3 linked regions of the Drosophila melanogaster genome follow. The protein of the gene in region 2 interacts with the protein of the main gene of each other region in a pairwise test. Each region holds a gene or a part of one and is shown on either strand. Other genes may lie near its edges.

Evidence for each region. The genes of interacting proteins can lie anywhere in the genome.
Region 1: the proteins of CG15576 (region 2) and Mlc2 interact in a two-hybrid assay, tested with the Drosophila melanogaster proteins (one large-scale study listed by BioGRID).
Region 3: the proteins of CG15576 (region 2) and IFT43 interact in a two-hybrid assay, tested with the Drosophila melanogaster proteins (one large-scale study listed by BioGRID).

What each region holds. Positions count from the first base shown.
Region 1 is NT_033777.3:30,170,938-30,176,380, reverse strand, and holds Mlc2 (myosin light chain 2), read left to right. Parts: upstream 1-1,829; 5' UTR 1,830-1,894; coding exon 1,895-1,897; intron 1,898-2,566; coding exon 2,567-2,809; intron 2,810-2,968; coding exon 2,969-3,391; 3' UTR 3,392-4,943; downstream 4,944-5,443. Other genes in the region: Rsod (uncharacterized protein), read left to right, coding at 5,314-5,383.
Region 2 is NC_004354.4:4,251,254-4,254,437, reverse strand, and holds CG15576 (uncharacterized protein), read left to right. Parts: upstream 1-1,647; 5' UTR 1,648-1,799; coding exon 1,800-2,171; 3' UTR 2,172-2,568; downstream 2,569-3,184.
Region 3 is NT_033779.5:12,693,372-12,696,912, reverse strand, and holds IFT43 (intraflagellar transport 43), read left to right. Parts: upstream 1-1,924; 5' UTR 1,925-2,000; coding exon 2,001-2,039; intron 2,040-2,097; coding exon 2,098-2,339; intron 2,340-2,395; coding exon 2,396-2,419; intron 2,420-2,486; coding exon 2,487-2,609; intron 2,610-2,664; coding exon 2,665-2,926; 3' UTR 2,927-3,041; downstream 3,042-3,541. Other genes in the region: CG5781 (uncharacterized protein), read left to right, coding at 1-442; PICK1 (protein interacting with C kinase 1), read right to left, coding at 535-646, 1,390-1,608, 1,751-1,797; CG6153 (uncharacterized protein), read right to left, coding at 3,069-3,193, 3,257-3,447, 3,511-3,541.

The DNA of each region.
Region 1 (5,443 bases), on a different chromosome or scaffold from region 2:
AGACTAACGTAGTAAATCAGCAAATCAAAGATGATTTGGCGTTTAAATTTAGAAACCCTTGAGATAAACAAATGTTATGTGTAGGCTGTTATTTGCCTTATTTAATTGTTAACCCTTTATAAACAATGCTTCCAAAGTGTCAAAACCATTAATATTCCCAGAAACATTCTGCACCTTGGAAAATTGAATACATTTGCCGCAGTTTTCATTAGTTTTAACATTCCTTCGACTGCGTCTTGCTCGTTTTTTGCACTTTGTTCTATTTTTACATTCGCGTATATTCAATGCTACTTTGCGTATTAGATTGTGGGCAGTTTTCCTCTATATCTTCTTGTTTTGGTTGGCCCCAGGCCAAAATGTCGCCTGGTTACGTGCCAAAATGGCTGCGCCATGAGAGTTTTCGCCGAAAATCACTTTCAATGGAGCACGAAGATGACTGCAGCCTAAATCGATTTTCATTATGTCTGATCGATGAATTATGAAGGCTTTCTCGCACGGATCCCATCGTTAATTGAGATATTTTCCGTTTCATAAATTTGCATAGAGCCTTCATTAATTATAATATTAGCCAGCGAGGGTAATGAATTCAGGTGGCAAAGATGACCTCATGTAAATATTGTTTTGAAAAATGTTTTGGCTTATTTCCTTCAGAAAGCAAAAAGTCGAATAATTTGCAGAATGAATATTTCTAAAAAAAATAGATGTAAACTATATGAATAATAATATTTTGTAACACTTGAAACTAAATTGAAATTTCCTGCTTATTTGGAAAACTAAAAATGTGTAAATAAGGCTTTGAGAATCCAATTTGTCGATTGAAGTTGTCACAATTTTACTATTTATTTACTGAAATGGCTTAAATAGCTTGAATACTGCAGTGTTTAATATTTTTAGTAACAAGGTTAATGTATCATGACGTGGTACCCAAAGTTTATCTGAAATGGAAATCCTACAGCCTTCCCATTGTTATGCAATGTCCATGGATGACTAGCATATAGATAAAGTCAGATGTTTATTCCACATTTGTTGCCGAAATAACTCTGGTCCAATATCGGGTTCGTTGGATATTTATGCGACACGAAATCCGCCCGATCGCCGTGTATGTATATACAGATCTATAGATTTGGAATTCTCGGCGCTCTTCATATTGCACAATGTGCGGGGCATTTCGAAAACAGAAAAAGGAACGTAGGCGAGCAAAACATCGAGTATATAGGCGTGAATAGAATACATACATATGCTATATGTTGGCATATATGTATGCTGTCCGCCGCCAAGGAAAATGTAGGTGATTTCAGCGCAAGAGGACACCTTTCGGAGGTGGCCTCTGGCAGAGAGACGCACCGAGTAGTGAAGCAGAGCAAAATAAAAGAAAACAAAACAGAATCCGAGGATGGGGAAATGTATCCACAACAGAGAGCCGCTATATGAACCAATCCGAATCGCCCCGAAATAAATTCCGAACATATGTATAGGCTTCTGCTGCCCAAAAGCCAAAGCCAAAGCAATTTCTCTGCCTTTAAAATTAGATTTTTGATTAGAGCAGCGCCCGATGGATGAGTAAACACCTCGGATACAGCTACACCATAGGCTATAGGCTATAGCCATGGCTATATCTATATAGTTGTAGCTGCCCGCCCCCGCCGATCTCCTGGGCGGACCTCGCCTTGCAGATACTAAAAAAGGCAGCACGAATATTGCAGATACGGATACAGCGAATGGCGCCCGAAGATCCCCGAAGGTGGCCGAACCTCCACGAGCGGCCCCAATGCTTGGAAGAAGAAGAGCTCCTCCGAGCTCTTAAAACATCATTGTCTTGGCGATAAAATCAGCCAGAGATTCAGTGTGCTCTGACGGCTCGACTCGATTAGACAACACATCAAAGTTCAGCACCATGGTAAGGACTCGTCCCGGAATATCACTACAATCCAACTGAACCGAACTGAACCGAACCGAATCGAACTGGACCCCAGTGCCTGGATATATGCAGCAAGGATAATGCCGATCAGTGCAGTGAATCGTTTGCATTCGAGAATGACCCCGAGGATATGAATATGAAGTGAACCATAACTCTAAATCATGGTGATCCCGATTCACCTTCTTCACATACGCAGTGAGAATAGTGCAGAAAGTTCTATAAATGGATCGATCCGATCCGAGTGTTACGCGTCAGTAATGTAATCTGATATCCGTGCCGGGGAGCGAGCGAGACAGCGAGTGGCGCACGGCGGAGAGCTTACGTAATATGCGTCCGGTATATTTTTAGAATGAGTGGAAAACTTTCGCCTGCAGATACATATTTTCTGGCCTAGTCGGGTAGGCCTTTTGAAAAGCATACCTTACATCCCTTAAATCCCTATTAAGGGATAACTTTCTACCCATATAATTCCAATTGAAGATCCTTCAACGCGGATAACTTACTAAGATCCCTAAAACGAATAGTATAACTTCCGGAATCGGAACTTTCAAGTGACAGCTAAAGACGGACTATAACGACTAATGACCGAGTAGATACCCCCTTTCTGCCACGAGTCCCTACTAATAAATCCCTCTTTTCTCTCCTCAGGCCGATGAGAAGAAGAAGGTTAAGAAGAAGAAGACCAAGGAAGAGGGTGGTACTTCCGAAACCGCTTCTGAGGCCGCATCCGAGGCAGCAACCCCGGCACCAGCTGCCACTCCTGCCCCGGCCGCATCTGCCACTGGTTCGAAGAGAGCGTCGGGCGGATCCCGTGGCTCCAGGAAGTCGAAGCGCGCTGGCTCCTCGGTCTTCTCTGTGTTCTCCCAGAAGCAGATCGCCGAGTTCAAGGAGGTGAGTTTTGGGCGTTACTCATATATCGCATCATATGTCGGATCACTCGAGACCCATCCCATCATCCTGTCATCCTACCATCTATCGCACTTGTCAAGGACCAAGTCACCAACACACTCTTTCTTTCTATCTCTCTCTGTCTCTGTGCGGGATCGATAGGCCTTCCAACTCATGGATGCCGACAAGGACGGTATTATTGGCAAGAACGATCTGCGCGCTGCCTTCGACTCCGTCGGCAAGATCGCCAACGACAAGGAGTTGGACGCCATGCTGGGCGAGGCCTCGGGTCCGATCAACTTCACCCAGTTGCTGACCCTGTTCGCCAACCGCATGGCCACCTCCGGTGCCAACGATGAAGACGAAGTTGTTATTGCTGCCTTCAAAACATTCGATAACGATGGTCTCATCGACGGTGACAAATTCCGCGAAATGCTCATGAACTTCGGTGACAAGTTCACCATGAAGGAGGTTGATGATGCCTACGATCAGATGGTGATCGACGACAAGAACCAGATCGATACCGCCGCCCTGATCGAGATGCTCACCGGCAAGGGTGAAGAGGAGGAGGAGGAGGCCGCCTAAGGCACATCCGATCACATCCTAACTTCTAACTCAACATCCATTTTACAGCCAGAATCAGAACGTTAAATCAATCAGTCAAATCAGTAATAATAAACGTAATTAAAAGAAACGCTCGTTTACATATGTAGATTCTCAGTATCTTGTAATCTCTTTTGTTAACCATCACCAAGTACCTTGTACCAAGAACAACACCACCAACCAGATCAGCAACATCCGATCAAACTGAACCTCAAAAGAACTTCTTCAGCAACATTTGGTAGCGATCAGAACCATTTACCATGTATCTGTCCATCATAGTTAGGGATACTTACGATCACGTTCACTGTCACGGCAAGAACTGACGCGTAGTTTTCTAGTTGATTTACTGTTAAATTTTACACGTAAAATTTATAAAACATATGCTATCTATTTTATTTAAAACACCTATAAAATCAACAAAAAAAACTTAAAAACAACAAACAAGCCGTGTCTATTTTTATATCGCTGTCCGTTGAAGAACTAAAGAGAAGAACCCCCAGAGAGAGATGATTACCAGATCGAGATCGAGATCGGAATCGAAATGAGGATGTATGATGTATGATTTATGATGTAGGGAGGACGAAGACGATGTTGATGGGTAGCCGGGCTGTATTCGTTAGCCCTGCACCCGCGAGTTCAATTTGATTATGAATATGAATTTTAGCCAGTTTTGTGAGTTACAATGTTTTTCGTTCAAGAAATCTCGCAGGACCAGGAGAGAGAGAGGTAAACCCATAACAAACTATTGTTAGGGATCATTTAACTGAGAGCCAAATATATATCCTACTATCACAAAATATTTATCGTTATACATATCTATCGTTCGTTACTTACTTATTTATCAGTTATGAGTTATCAATATTATTGCAAGTTATCGAGAGTTAGGCTAATAACAGAGAAACATTAAGTTCATTCACTCAAATTGTTTAATGCGAATTTATATAACTTAACCATCGCCACCACCACAACTTTCTGCTTATGAACTATCAGCGATATAAACCACCCAAACGAACAAACAACCCAAAATGATATCTGAAATATGAAGAAACATTCAAATAACAAACCCAGTGTTTCTAGTTAATGCGTTTTGAAGCTTCCAGGATGATACGCCTCCCCGGGAAATAGACGGTCGGGGGGGTTTTAGTTTGAATAAGGTGCCCATAACCACTAGTACCTAGGCTGATCGGAGGAAGCACAATATATTGCCTTATTTATCTAATACTACTATTACTCAGAACTCAACACTTGACACTCGACACGAGCACACACCACACTCACACGCACACTGCAATCCATTTCAAAGTGCAACATGCAACAAGTTGTTAAATGCAAATCGAATCTTTACTTCAGTATATTTTAAGCTACACACGGCAAGATGAAAAAATTCAGAAAACTTTTAACCCGGTCAGGAATATTAACAAGAGTAAAACAAAAAACATCTAAAAATAGAAAACAAGTAACTGTTTTTATACAACATAACTAGATGATGATACGATGACGAAGTCTTGGAATAAAGCAAAAGAGAGTCGTCTTGAAAAAAAAACACAAAGCCATTGAAGTTTGATTTGCTCAGGGAAGGGGTTTTTTGGGGGTATGTAGTACCTTACTGCATATCTGACTCAGCTGAGCCGTGCCGGAAACCAGTTCCAGGTCAAAACAAAACCACCGATAAAGCTGGGGAGCTGAACGAAGCTGTGGAGCGCAGTGGGAAACTCCCCACACTTGGCCAAGACGATGGCCAAAACCGAACACGAACCTTCGAGCGACCAGTTGTCAGTCGAGTTTCGAGGCGCACGCATGCGCACTACGATGTGAAAGTCAGCCACGCTTGTCATTGCCACATCCATTCCGAACAGCGCTTTTCGAATAATCTGGTTACTCAGGGCGTAAGTAGAACCAGAACCATGGCTCCAGGTGGACGACAGCTTTTGTGGATGGCTTCCATCTGCTGGATTGCATCACTAATGAGTGGAGGTGAGTGCTGGGAATCGATTGCATTGTATGCAGATATTGCGTGGCCAAAGAAATCGAAAG
Region 2 (3,184 bases):
CTCGGCGAAATCCTGCGATGAGGAGATGAGGAGGTGCCAATATATGGAGCTGCCACAAGGGGCATAGTGGAAGGGCGCCCCGAAAACTCGCAAAAGTTTGCTCCAAAGTCCAACATATGTTGCCTGTTCATGCATGCCCTCGTACTCCCCCTCTCTCCACGTCTCCCCTTCCAAATTCCTTGCCCTGCAGTCACTAAGTTAGTCATACAAATGGAGAAAATAGATGACAGAACCATGTTAAAATAATGGTATGAAATAGAGGTTGTAAAATCGCAAAAAAATCGATTCAAACATAGTTAAATCATTGATGAAATCTTATGATATTTAAACATAGACAATTTTCATTAATAACGAAGTCGCTTTTATTTCTTTAAGTGCACGACTTTCATACACATACGGCCATCCAGCACGTGTGCCAGTGTGTGTGTGCCAGTGTGTAATTATAACAAGTTTTCTAGGCAATTTTTCTGTTTTCCTTCTCGTTTTTCGCCCCAGAATCTCGCTAGTTCCCCCGTTCTTTTATTTTATTTTATTTTTTTGGGAACGCTTCTGTTGGGTATCTGAAGAGCAAGAAGTAAGTTTCTGATAAGAAAGTTATGATGAGTTTTCTTCACTCACACAGCGAGCAGAAGATGGCAGCACATGTACACACAGCTGTTGATTTTGGCCAAATTAGTGCAAACACGTCTTGTTTTGAGTTGTGGCCCATGTGGAACATGTGCAACTAATTTGCAGTTATCAAGAGTTCTGCCTTCGACGGGGTTGAACGGATGAGCTCGTGGTCAGATGTCTGTATCTAATCCATCTGTTGGGGCATTGATTTTGGCATCCCAGATACATGCCACCAAACCCAATCCACCCACCATTGTTAACAAATTTCCATTTCCGGTGGTGGCCACAAAAAGCGAAAGGTGTGCGGATGGGCTTTTTCGGGCGGAGTTGGAGCTCGGAAAACCCCGCTGGCCTGTCTGCCGACTGTCAAAAGTTTATTTATTTGACACCGAAAAAGTTGACACAGACACCAGGCCGGGGGCGTGACTTTGTGCCTGAATCGGATTTATATGCCTGGCCAAAATTGGATTACAATTGAGTTGTAATTATGCGACAACAAAACGTTGCGTTCGAGGGGATGCGGATCCTTTTTGGGGTCCTTTGGAGCTCACCGCCTCTGTGTTCTGTTTTCCATGTTGTCGGCAATTTGAGCCAAGCGCTTGCTCAACGACGTCTTTTGAAATTTCGCATTTTGCATTAATTAAAACTGATTTAATTAAAGCTTGTCGTGTTGCTTTTAAGTACTTCAGGAACCAGGATGAGAGTAACAGGTCCTCGAGCTAGGACATCCACTAGCGCATCCAATCCACCCCATGAAAATGATTGAAGCGAGAGACCAAAGTGTTCTGGACTTGTCTCCTGTCGCCCTCGCCAAAGATTCTTTGTCGTCTTTGAGTAGGTGAAAGTTTAATTAAATATGCATCGAGCGTACACAAGTATGTGTACTTGTGGGCCACATAGATCGCATAGATATTTCACCGGAAGTCCCCCAGTCGGATTATGTCGGAATTAGTTATCCAAATTTTTTGGTTATCTCTTATCTCTTGTACAATATTTCACATAATACCATTCCACAATTCAGCTTTATTTGTCTTGTCACATATTTCAGATGCTCAGGTCTCATTGAGATTTCTATCAATCGGTATTGTGTGCTACCGTGTCAGAAAAATATTAGTTATTCGAAATCCCCAACAGCAGCAGAACGTTTCGATCGAAATTTCAGTAAGAACAGCTTTAAAATATTCAAAATGAATCCATTTAGGCCAAATCCAGGTCAGAGTTTTCGCATTCGCTTGAATATGGATCGCGTGCCGGGCGAAGAAGAGCGCAATATACAGCCATCGACTGATGAACGTCGAATCACCCAAATTCCACCGATTCAATTGCGCATCGATCATCAGCGGGATGTGAATCGTTTCATGATCAATATGCGTGTAATGCTACATCGACGGAGGACGGAATTAAATATGGGAGGCGGCGATAGTATCGGCGTGTGGAACTGGAGGGAGCCTCCGATGCCAAGCGGTTTGATTGGCGAGGGCGATTGTGATGGCGGTGGCTATGGTAATTACGCTGGTGACTATCATCCACCATTGCGGGGACTGCCACCAAACCCCTAGGATCTGTACCTTCTCTTACCACACTTGCCATCACTGTCTTTTGCCTCTCCCCTTCCTGTGCGTGTGTGATGTCCTTTTTTTCATTTCTGAGCGTCGTCCGCAAAAAAGAAGAAAAATGTCATCATCAGCTAAAAGGCCCGAAACCCCAAACACAATCCACTACCACTTCCATTCTCATTGCCACCTGAACCAGTAACCCTTGGAGAAGAACGGACCCTGTTCGGACGCATGTTGTTCTATTATTATATCCCCGTTGAGTTCTGGGTTGATGATTTTTCCATCTCCCCAAGAAAATTGATGGGCTTTGGAATTGGAGGACATGCCGAGCCCCGGACGCATATAATAATTTCCTGTTCAATGAGCAATTATCGTAATAAAGATACAATTCCGCTACTCTATATTATATTCGGATACGGGGATGACAATGGTGGTCAGTGGGCAACGATGGTGGCCAAGAGGGGAACAAGCGCACTGACGACAACGATGATGATGATGACTGGTCTCTTCCGCACTGATGTGATGGATTGAGCCCCAGCTCAAGTCTGATTCCTGTCTGTCATGTCACTTTTTCCATGGGGTTAATGGGGGCGTGACAAACATACGGGAAAAGCGCACGGAAAGTTGATTGAACTGCACTAGTTAACTATTCCCCGAAATGACTAGCATGCCATTTCAATTCTAGATGAATTTGACCCCAATATAAGCACTTCATTTTACTTACTTCATCCTAAAATGAACTTCTCAATGAAAGCTTCTATTTTAATGCATTTATTCTGAAATTCGTACATACATAGATTGTAGACAAATCAGGATGCCAATTGAAACAGATTTTGCCCTCTCAGCTGTGACATTTGCATAATCAAAGAAAATTTCGAGCGCAGCCATAGGAACTTTAGTGGGTGTTTGACTTTCATTATAGCCTTCTAGCAGCTTTAGGACTTCCCAATCACTGAGACCAACTGGCAGGGACTCGAGAGTATCAATTCGGGTAGATAGATGCCGTCCTTTATTCT
Region 3 (3,541 bases), on a different chromosome or scaffold from region 2:
GCGCAAGCTGTACCTGAACTCTCTGCAAACGGTGACGAAGCCCCGATGCCCTGCCACGCTGGCCACGTCAATGGTCGCTTTAAACAAGCGCCTAAAGAAGCAAAGGCAGAGCCGAAAGACATCCGACTTTGTGCCCCGAATCAATCCAGGCTCTTCTATGGACTACCTCAACCGGCAGCCCTTTACGCCGCTTGTCAAGTCCTCCTTTACCCATCCAAAACCTTTTCATCTCCATACGTCGGAGCGTGCTCTGCGCCGCCAAGTGTATGACGAGAGGAAAAGGATACGGATGGATCGGCGTTTGGAGCAGCAGACCATCGATTGGTTTGCACGGGAAAGAAGCGAGTACTTTAAGCTACGCAAAATGACAAATTTCAAGGCTACGCCGAATCCCTGGAAGCAAACAAGGGTCACCGCTAGAAAAGATTCTCAGGCAGCCTAGAAATGAGATTGTAAATTAAATTTGAAACAAGCTGAATATGGCAGCAAAAAGATCTTTGTGAGAGTTTATGAGTTCATGATTTTCAGACTTACCTGCACGATATACAGACATGGACACATGGGTGCTCCACCCCCAATGCTGATGCCAATCAGGTTGCTCTGATCCTTTGTAATGACGACAGCATTCGTGCTGACAGTCATGCCCCTGCATAAAGGTTGGTAAGAAGTTAAGATATTGAAATATAGTTTGAAGCGTGATCTACGCGTGCTACATGATTTGAAGTATATATGGTTATGTGCTGGTGATTCCATATCAGTTTTCCATACGTACTCACTTCGATTGGTGCGATTTTCTAATTAGCCATGTTACCAGTTCTAGCAAGGCCATTGGATTATTATCAAGTTTGGCTAGGGCTGTATGGGGAAAACTGTTGATCGGGACAGCTTATTCTAAGGCATCGTGATACTAACGCTTTCGAAGGATGGGACTTGGAAAGCCAAAGGACACCTCGAATTCAATATAGTTTGTATACTAGCTAGCCTAAGTATAAGCATCTAAGGCTCTACAAAGGAAATTCACATTTGTCCTTTTTCGGTGGAATTAATAAACTAAATAAACAACAATCTTGTTAGTTCTAGTTCTGTAGTTCTTACTATACAAAAAATGGATATAGTACTGTGTTCGCTCTTTAAAAAGTAAATAATTAAAAAAAAAACAGCAACTGAATCAAAATTAAATTTTTAATAGTTAAATAAAGAAGTGTATATGCTACTATTAATATAAATACACCAATTTATGAATTTAAAAGAATAAAATCAATAAAAAACCAAGAGTAAGCTAATTTGGTAGAAACTACAGGATAAAGACTATAAAAACCAGAACTTAGAAAACAGAGCTGCCACAGGAAATAGTATGGGAACGATTCCGGGTCAACGGAGTTGACTTACAGACGGTCTAACTCATACTTCTGCCTACTGGCGGACTCGATGCCGAACCTGTCCCCGGATGCGGAATCGCAGGAGAATCCCGCCGGGGAGCAGAGCATAACGGTGGCCTCGTTGGGAGCGACGGAACCGGAGGCATGCTCTCGCTGCTCCGTGCGTTCCTTGGGCTGCCGGACAGCCTGAGCACCATCCCCATCCAACTGGATGAGCAGCGGTTCTGGCCTGATTCCAACAATATGTTTCAGTTTGGTGGCAATTATTGATTTTTAACAGACACTTTTCGGCACATCGCAACAGATTGTTGTGCGTAAATAGAGCTGGGCGTAGGTGTTGCAGCAATTTATTGCTTTCAATGGCCACTTACATCTTATCCTCTTCGAAAAAGAAGTCATCTTCCGTGTCCGTCAGCATTTTGCGTTATTAGAAAATAAATATTTGTTTATTTTGGCCACTTGAAGCTCCGCCAACTGTCATCGGCGATAGGTAACTGATTTGAAAACTATCGCATCGCGTTGCGAATGGCAAACTCCATTAGTAAACTTGAACATTCCCACGGAGTAACCATGACCACTTGTTGCCTTGGAAACGCTGAGGATAAACGTAAACAAAAGATGATGGACTGGGCCGAAGAACTCAAGATGACCATAAGAAAGGTAAGTAACCCTGTTTAAATGGATGCAAATTGAAGTTTCGATTTATTTGCCACCCTAGACGACGGCCAGGAAGGGTCGGCGCTCCAAGAGTCGCGATGTTCTGAAGGAGGAGGATGTCCAGGCGGCTGGGGGCTCCAAGGACATTTCCATCGACATTACGCTGAATGTCCAGGCGGGCACCCCACCGACCACCTCGGACACGGCCACCTCGTCCACATACAACAATGAATTCGAGTCACATCGACCACCCATTCGTCGCATTTCAGGTGGCTGGGCGGATTCTGGACTCAAAGGATTAAAGTGGGTATGATTAGGCTCGAATTAGGCACATTACTGATTGCTCTATATCTTTTTAGGTCCAAGAAAAACTCCTTTGATGAGTGAGTACAAGTTTATCACAATAACTTCACTTTCCACCGACTGTTATAATGATAAAATTCATTTTAGTGAGCGCTTTAAACAAACAAAGTCGGCTACAAATTCCATACCAACGGATGACATTCCCGTCATCCCAGACATGGATGATGTCAAGGACGAAATCATGCTCAATGAGATTGTAGAACCGCCAACGTAAGCAGAAGCTGCTATATTTCTCTTCACTACGATAATAAGTTGTAATTTGTAGTATTGGCACCTCACGATCTGCTGTTTTGAAGGAGGCCAATTCCGATTTGCTTTCCCAGTACGCCTTTTCAGCTGTGGATGGCTTTGATCTCTCAATCCTCACCGATTGCCTGGTTCCACAGGAGAGCCTCAACGAGAAGGACGATCTCTGGCAGTGGGACAAGCTGTTCACCGAGGTCACGGCTGAAATCCATTCGGATAAAGTGCCCAATATGGGCATGAAAATAGGACCCGATGTGATTCCACCCACACAATATACTTAGTATGATTTAGCCCACAATATCTGTGCAATACAAATGCTCAATAAGTTAAGCGAATACAAAAACATTTCTTGCCTTAAATGATCACAAAATATATACACTACAGAGATACTCAATTAAATTGTAAATTTTAATCTCTATAACCCTATTGGATGGCTCTGCCGACTCCATCGAAAGCCTTTTCCTTGTGATCCGCTGCATTGGCACGGGATTCGTAGTTGCATATGGTTACGCCATGGTAATGAGCTTCTGTGAACTCTCCTCGAAGACCTTTGAATAGTGACTTGGTTTTAGTTGGGAACACAGATAAAACATAGATTGTTGTGAGCTTACCTATATAGTAAATGCGTGTTATGTCTTCGCCAAAATTGCTGGGAAAGTAGAGGGAGAGATGGTGCACGGAGGAGAAGGTGACCACTTTGGGTGAGTACTCGATTTCTCCGCGGGCATCGCGGGTCAGCTGGAACTCCTGGTCGGGCTTTGCTCTGGCATCATCAAAGGTCATCCTGGGTCGGTTCTTGAAGCTGAAAAATAAGATATATGATGAATATAGTAATATTAAAGCAGCCTTGACTTTTGTTCCTTACATTTTGACCATGTTTGGATGGGAGTCATCAT